Linked DNA regions of Styela clava. Each later gene encodes a partner of the first gene's protein in a complex. Links are inferred from orthologs where the notes say so. Each region holds a gene or a part of one and is shown on either strand. Other genes may lie near its edges. The genes, in order: protein dispatched homolog 1-like and desert hedgehog protein A-like.

The links.
Region 2: the proteins of protein dispatched homolog 1-like (region 1) and desert hedgehog protein A-like are in contact, whole or in part, in a cryo-EM structure (PDB 6TD6), measured with the Drosophila melanogaster proteins. The link is inferred for Styela clava from reciprocal best matches to the Drosophila melanogaster genes disp and hh. Residues at the interface, in NP_524734.2 of Drosophila melanogaster: His77, His78, Arg250, Tyr253, Glu296, Ala404, Gln405, Ser406, Asn407, Arg408, Gly434, Asn755; in NP_001034065.1 of Drosophila melanogaster: Tyr100, Pro101, Val103, Leu104, Lys105, Gln106, Thr107, Asn110, Leu111, Ser117, Glu164, Lys165, Val168, Ala228, Gly229.

The regions. Positions count from the first base shown.
Region 1 is NC_135255.1:3,997,777-4,001,713, reverse strand, and holds the start of protein dispatched homolog 1-like, read left to right. Parts: upstream 1-1,567; 5' UTR 1,568-1,781; intron 1,782-3,593; 5' UTR 3,594-3,595; coding exon 3,596-3,690; intron 3,691-3,937. Other genes in the region: mediator of RNA polymerase II transcription subunit 13-like, read left to right, coding at 1-221. UniProt on the Drosophila melanogaster protein: Segment polarity protein which functions in hedgehog (Hh) signaling.
Region 2 is NC_135251.1:20,005,519-20,009,455, reverse strand, and holds the start of desert hedgehog protein A-like, read left to right. Parts: upstream 1-1,416; 5' UTR 1,417-1,447; coding exon 1,448-1,774; intron 1,775-3,937.

The DNA.
Region 1 (3,937 bases):
GTGATGAAGTTCAAAGTATGGGATCTGGTGGGGAAACAAATGATGAACATCATGAATTAGATTCTCATAAAACTGCTCAAGTTCTGCGATATGTGATGGAAAATTATAATGCACTGTCGTGGTTGACCTGCGACCCTGTATCTCGCGATCGCAGGTCTTGTCTTCCTATACATTATTTTGTACTAACAAGACTTTATCACACAATCAAGGAGTTAACGTAATATCATACTTTATTTATTGTTAGTATTATTATTACTAAACAGGTGTACATTTAAAATTGTGTGTCAATTTTTTACTATGTGTTTTTTTCTTATCAATGGTTCCATATGCCTTGATTATTAATATTTTTGCGGAATATCAATGTTTCCACCCACGTTTGAAATGACACTCAAAAGAAGAAGAATTATATGTTCATAAGCATTGAAAAGTGGAGGAGTTTATATGCAGTTAGATTCTAAAAATTTGTTTATTTAAATTATTATAGAATAAGCTACGCGAATGTCTATCGACTTTCATTCTTTTTTTAAAATATGATTCATGTTTGAGCTAACTTCTGAATCACTTTTATTTTCATAATTGCTGCTTTGTGTCAAACTGCGTTGTGCATAACAGGGATATGTCTTTGATTTGATAAAACTATGCTTGTTATTTTCAACATTCCTTACATGGGATAGTATTTGGATGTAATTTGTTACATGACATTAAAAGCAGAGAATTTGCCTGAAAGGGTGTATTTGAAAATTATTTTATCATAGAACTATAAAAACAACAGGTATGATTTATTAACCACCAACAATTTTGAGTTACAATGTTGAAATCTGAGACAAATTGTCTTCGTATAGTTCATACTATTTTTGATTTGTGACCAATTTGAATCTTCGTATACATAATTGGTTTTGTGATTTTTATCCTCTGAAAAGTTGATTCATTTGATAAGTGCCAGAATATATAATATGTAAAATTTCCATGCAAGTGCATGCCATTTTGATTAAATTTTCAATTTTTCTAAGATAAGGTTATGAATTCTTCCTCCCCTATTTGATGGTATAGCTATTCCAGTTAAATGTAATTGTGTAGTTTGATTTCCCTTTTTATGTCTATTGCAATATTGCTTGTTTATGACTTTTATTTATGGGTGACCCAAAAAAAAGAACAGAATATTCTAGAGAAAACTTTTGTGCAAAGCGTCCTAAATTGCCAAAACTTTTGTGTACAATCAACACATGTAGAAGTTTTCTCCATTTTCGTACAAGTGATTAAGAAATTTATGAGCTTTGTCATTTTTGAGTCATCCTTACGGTTTTAATCTATGTCCAAATTTTTATGATGGTATTCAATATTAACTTCAAAGCAAGGCGGCAATGGAATCCAAATTTGAATCAGAATTCAACTTCTAACTCAATAGAATTAAGCGTGAAAAATGTTGATAATACCAGAAAATTTTATATTTTCATGTACATGACTGACTTGCGTTTCAATCAATTTTCCATGAAATTTATTTACTGTGTTACGATTATTTAATACCTTTATTTGTATTTGTTCATTTTTAAAATTTAGAAAACAGATAAAATTGTTTATATAAACATGAAAAGTAAGGCTGAAACAAAATCATTCGTCGGAATGCATTATCTGTTAACTGAATACAAGTGAATGGGAATTAATATGAAATTCGACTCATATCTGAATGATTTATGACGTCCATTCTGGATGATATTACAGCTTCTGCTGTTATTTGCAGTATTTAAAGTGCCTCTAAACGACTTTTCTCCACCACCTCCTAGGTGAGTTTTCGTATTTTTCCCATCTTGAATTGTTTTTAAATGACGTATTATGCATATTTTATATTTACAAAGATTAGAATTTTCCACGTAGAAATTGTATTTGTAAGTAGTGAGAGTAGCAGAAGTTTATCTAAAACCTGACTTATCAAAAGTTAAACAAGACTGTTTTTATTATGAACATATGAAAAAAAGTAGAATGAAAATGAAAAAAAAAAAAGTTAAATCAAGAATTTACAGCATAATATAGTTATCGTATATCTTTTTTAAAATTCGAGTATAGGTTGCAGCGTAGGAATGTAAGAGCACTACATTGAACATAATAAAATACCTTTGAAGATAAGATATCTTTACAAATTAGGGTCATTCACATTATTTTTTGAAATTTGAAACTCAAAAATTGGAGAGTAGGCTTGCCTTCCTAGGTAATTCCGGGTTCTGTAGTTGTTCCATTGTGATGTGTTAATTTCATCTTTGGGAATTGGGATTTAACTTGTTTTTACACATAGTGTGAAATTTATTACGATTTTGTTAAGTAATCAATAAATATAATATTGATAAAATAATTGTTTTGATCATTTTGCTATTAAGTCAATTATCTCATATAGGCCTACCGGTATCTTGTGTTGATTGCTTAAAATAGCTGCTTCATCAAATTATACTGGCCTATTGCAAACTGACTTTTTGATTTTCATGGCTATTAATATCCGCATAACATGGATATTTACGCATATATAATGTCTCTTGATCCTTCTATCCTCCTATTATATTTAAGATTACATGATGATGTAAATTGTTATCCAAACAAACAACAGGATACTTGAGAAATGAGAAATGGTCTACTTTTATGAATATTCTTTTGTTGTGCGACACAATTCCTAGCGTTGTTTAGCGAAACAGGATTTAGATTTATTGTAGATTTTATGATAGATTTGTTTTGCCCGGCCTAACTTAGATTTTATTTTCAGTTTATTGTCAGAAATTGAAAATTTTTCAAATAAAGAACAAATTTCTGTGCATGCTAATGATGTCCAGACAACTTATCTGGAAAATGCATATTTTCAAAAAAAATATTTTCAATTTAAATACCAGAAATTTATATTCACTAACGTATGGCGTATGTAAAACTTCATACCTCATCAATGTTCTAATAGAATGAGTAGGCCATGCTGAAGTGAAAAAAGTATAGTCCTATAACTATTAAAAGTGACTAATTATATATTGACTTGAAGTGAAAATGTGTAATGCCCTGTTAAAACTAATCCTTATTTGCTATGCAGTATATTTATTATGTATATCCAAATGCAGATTTTACATGCTGCAAATTTGAAATTTTTTTAATCTAAATTAACTTGAAATATTTGGTTATATTATAGACAAGATTGAATGCATTAGGTAAACTCTGTTCTTTTTATAGTCAATTTCAAAATAATATTCAGAAATTTTCCTTTACATGTTTAATTTTGGTTATTGATAGTTATGAAATCATAAATATATATTGTGTTGCCATTGTTTGCTTCTGTCTACTCCATGTGGTACCAGAACATATATAGTGAATTTTATGATCAACCAAGCATATATCGTAAATGAATGCGCTATTAATAAAGTACAATCTATTTTGGGTTTTGGTTTGTGACAAATGTTGCTTGTTTTGTTTTCCTGTTATCACGCCTGTCCTGTAATATAGTTGTCAGTTTCGTTACGCTAAATTCCATGAGAAAATATGAAGTATGCTAAGCAAACAACCATGACCTTTATAAAGTGCTGTTAGTACATGGAGATACGTTATTGCCAAATTGTAACAAACTATTTTAGACATGGAGGAAAAGTCAGATGAAGAAGTTGCTAGAGTTTTAAAATCTGTTGAGGAACGACGACGCAGAAGAAAAGAACAAGAAAAAAATGTTGACTGGTTTGTATATCGTTATAATTATTATTGTTAATGGAAATTGTGAAAGCCTGATTAAGAATTGAATAATTTGTACTACTTTTGTAGGACTTCTTATTGCTATAATGAATACTATAAGCTTTGACATAATATATATGTTTATATGTCAGCAATATTTAGTTTCTCTCAAAAAATAAAATAGTTTGCAACTTATAATTTTCTGCAATAATGGCAGAATTTCACTGAAAATTGTAATTTTAAATGAATACAT
Region 2 (3,937 bases), on another chromosome or scaffold:
AGACAGAGTGCTACTCTCCCGAAGATGCATCGTATCTCAAGATGGTACCATTTTGAAATTTTACCCATCAAAAGTTGAGCGCATTTTTGTACGTGGAATAAGTACTTTTGGTAATCTTCATTTTGTTAAATTTCCTTTTGGGTAATAAGAAACATATTAGAAATATTGTGCAATACCAAAATATTCTTTCAGTCTCCTTCAGCCCCAGGCATTCGGTTCGAAAATTCTGAATTTCCTTTCTATCATGTGATACCGTAGTTCAATTCGTTTATTGCAAAAACAGATCAAAAAACCCTATTTGACCCAAATATTTCAACAATCACACACGGCCAAAGCGTTTTTGCATAAAAAGCGATGTACAACATAATAATTGGTGCAAAATGTTTCTGCTGCATTTGTTCTGCAGCTGTCGCGACTAACTTTGACAAATAATTTTGCCTCGAAAAAAGGCTTCATTATGCAAGATATTCAGTGCTTCGTGATCATGGATGGACCATACTTTCGTAATCTTAATAAAATTTAATGAATGCTTGTAATTTGAACGATAACAATGAACCTATTACACAAATATACTCCTTGTTTTTCTCAAGAAAATCCGATAACAGTAATACAGCTGATTTAGTTCAGCTATGGGACGGTAACGTAGTTTCGATTTATATATGCAACGTGGTCAGAACAGAAATACTATTGGAAACGAATAATTACATACGGCAATATAATAACATAAGAATCTCAATGAAGCGGTACAATCTTGTGATCTGACAAATCACCTAGGTCCAACGAAATCGAAAAATGAATACTCTTGCCCAAGTCATACTAAAAATGTATAGCAGGAGGATAATAAAAATCAGAAGTTTTTGAAATAATATTACCTATTTACAAAATAAAATTATTTTCATTATTGTGTAGCTTTTGTATAAAAACAACATTCCACACGTGCCAAATTAATTGGATTCTTCTTCTATTCTGTCACAGTAGGACATTAATTAAAATGAAATCCCCTGGCACGGTCACCATTTCTACTCACCGGCCGACTCATTGATTCACTCAGTCCATCATTTAGGTCACGCTGGACCATTATTGCGTTAATTTGTTACAAGCCCATTTTGTCGTTCCGCTAATGTATTCCGCGTTGGTGCAGACATTATTGATTTCTTAATCCTCGCGTTTGTTTCCGATTTCAAATTTAAATTTCAGTTGACAAAGAGGCGACTTTTCTCCTGTTTGGAAGTTTTGTATTATTGCGCCGGATGGCTGGCAGGTTAAAACTGTCTTAAAATTAAGGTAAATAAGATTGTTGCAGCTGCATAAATGGTTTCGTCGAAAGTTAGGGTATTTCTTTTCTCGGTTTTTTTGCAGAAAAATAACAATTTATCTTTCTTTTTTCCCAATACGCAATGCAATAAAAATAGAAATATGTTATAATATTTTACGCCAATGGAACCAGATGTACAGCTCTGAGGACGAAATGAATTGTCAAGAAATTATAATCATTGTCGGACTATTGCTGATTGTCTCTCATAATCGAGTAACTGACGGTTGTCACGGGCCTGGGGTTCCTCCAAAGAGGCGGAAACCTTCGAGATTACTGACACCTTTGGTGCTGAAACAACATATTCCAAACATATCAGAATTTACCATCGGAGCAAGTGGGCCACCAGAAGGAAGGATAACACGAGAAGACAAAAGATTCAAAGATCTCATTGTAAACTATAACCCACAAGTTGTTTTTAAAAATGAAGAAGGAACTGACGATGATCGTCGAATGTCAAAGGTATGAATATATTGAATTCTCTTTTTTACACACACACACACACATACACAAAATCACTTGAAGCAACTTGCAATGAAAAATATACAGACTTCATCGAAGATAATTCAGCTCACAAGATCTCAATTGTATTCTTTGACTGTATTTGTAAGCGTGTGAAACTAAAAATTGTTACCGCTCATTTCGAGGTAATTCGTAATATAGAATATTATGGCATATTTTCTTGTTAGACAGAAAGGTTCGTCGTCATCATGGGAAACATATGTAATCAAACTTACTTCATACTAACTACACACTACTGTTCAATAACTCCCAGCCTCCTTACGCGATAGACGAAATAAGTCCGCTTACATGTAGGCTTATATGAAGGCCATTTATCGCGATAAAATAATCTTACATATCTATTTATAAGATACGTTTGAAGAGTGATTTGTGTGTGAAAATATTTTTTTAGTGAATTAAACAAAACAACTAAAACACTGAAATCTTGCTAGGGAATGTTTTGTCAAATTTTATTATTTTTTTTCGCGTTGGGTAGGTAATTGACATTCAACGTTAACGTGGCGCGTAGTTTTTCATCAATCTTTAAAAGTTACAACTTAGGTCTCGATCTCAGTACCTCATCACTAAAAGTATTTCTTATAAACCGCATATCATAACGTCAAATAAACATGAAAATTTGGAACTGCTTTGTTACGGTAAATCATAATTGTTATTTCAATGAAAACTCTAAACATATCGACGGTTGGTTGGTTATACTCCTCCGCATGTTTATTTTAGTGTTGCCGAAATAGTAACTTTTTGCCATGCTCCGTTGCATGTGGATTAAACCTCAGCCGTTATGTCACCGCCAAACGTCGTTTCGGTTGCAATTTGAGGTGGATGGCGTGAACAAAATCAGTTGCGAATTTTGTTGTTATTTTTTACCGGTTTTACCGCTGTCTTCAAAAAATTCATATCTTGCGGTATTTTTGTCGTAATAAGTCAGCGAAAAACAGTTGAAAGATCGACCCCAAAAAAGCAAACGAATGACCGCAATCACAGAAATCTTTTTATACGTGCAACAAATAAACAGGAAAATCTTACCTTTTCTTGTTGTTGTATTGGCTAAACCCAAGAAATAATGGTATATGCACCATGTGCAATGTATTTTGTCGGCTGAAGAATTGTAATTTCGCGTTTGTGCTAACCTGTTTGTTGATCGATCGATAGTGACAGTCAGATATTGAAAATAAATTTGAATGTCACAGACGACCTTCGAACGATTTGCCGTTAGTTTGATTTTGTGCAACAATTTCCCGTAAAATTGAGTTATTGAGTCCTGGGGAACATTGTTTCATTACGCCAAACAGATAAAACTGTTGTGGCAGCTTAATAATTGTTTATTAGCCGCTACATAAATTGAGATTGCGGACCTCGGAGGCTGGCCACTGCGGTAAAATGTCATAAAATTTTAGATACAACTCAAACCTAAGTGTCCAGTTGTAGTGGAGTTTACTCTCAAGCCGCAATCGACAAGAAATTCAAATCTTTATTACATTGGGCTGTGTGATGTCCGGTCAAAGACGATTATGTCATGAAATTTACACGACATAATCATCCGATCAGTTTTTACCCGGGAATAAGATGAATGACGCCACCGATACAATATTTGTCTTGTACCGGAACGCCCATGTACGTTTCAATTCGACAGTTTGTTCTAGCAATGATTTTGTCTGCGTCACATTGGTATTTCGTCTTTCACGTCGAAAAGAATTTTCAAAAAAATCGTAAGTTTACCCGAGCATTTCTGTCTACATTTTGTTATGTTTGACTTCTTCATATCAAAAGTCATATTTTTGAAAACGTAAATGTGTTGTGCATATCGAATATATATGTCTTTTTATGTATCCAGTGATATACTGCATTCTGAGCCCGATTGGAGTGTTATAGATGTCCACTATACACGGATCAAAATATGAAAACAAATTCTTTATTCGGATGTATTAGATCAAATTGTTTGCGCTTTTCATAAAAACGTCACTGTCAGAAGATTGTAAGCGAACTGGACCCAGATTTTACTACATTGCAAACATTGTTGATTTGAAGGTAACAGCAAATCAAGAAAGCCAAAAGCAGACAAATATATTCTGCCAGACACGGGGGAGCGCGTTTTTAATATACCCC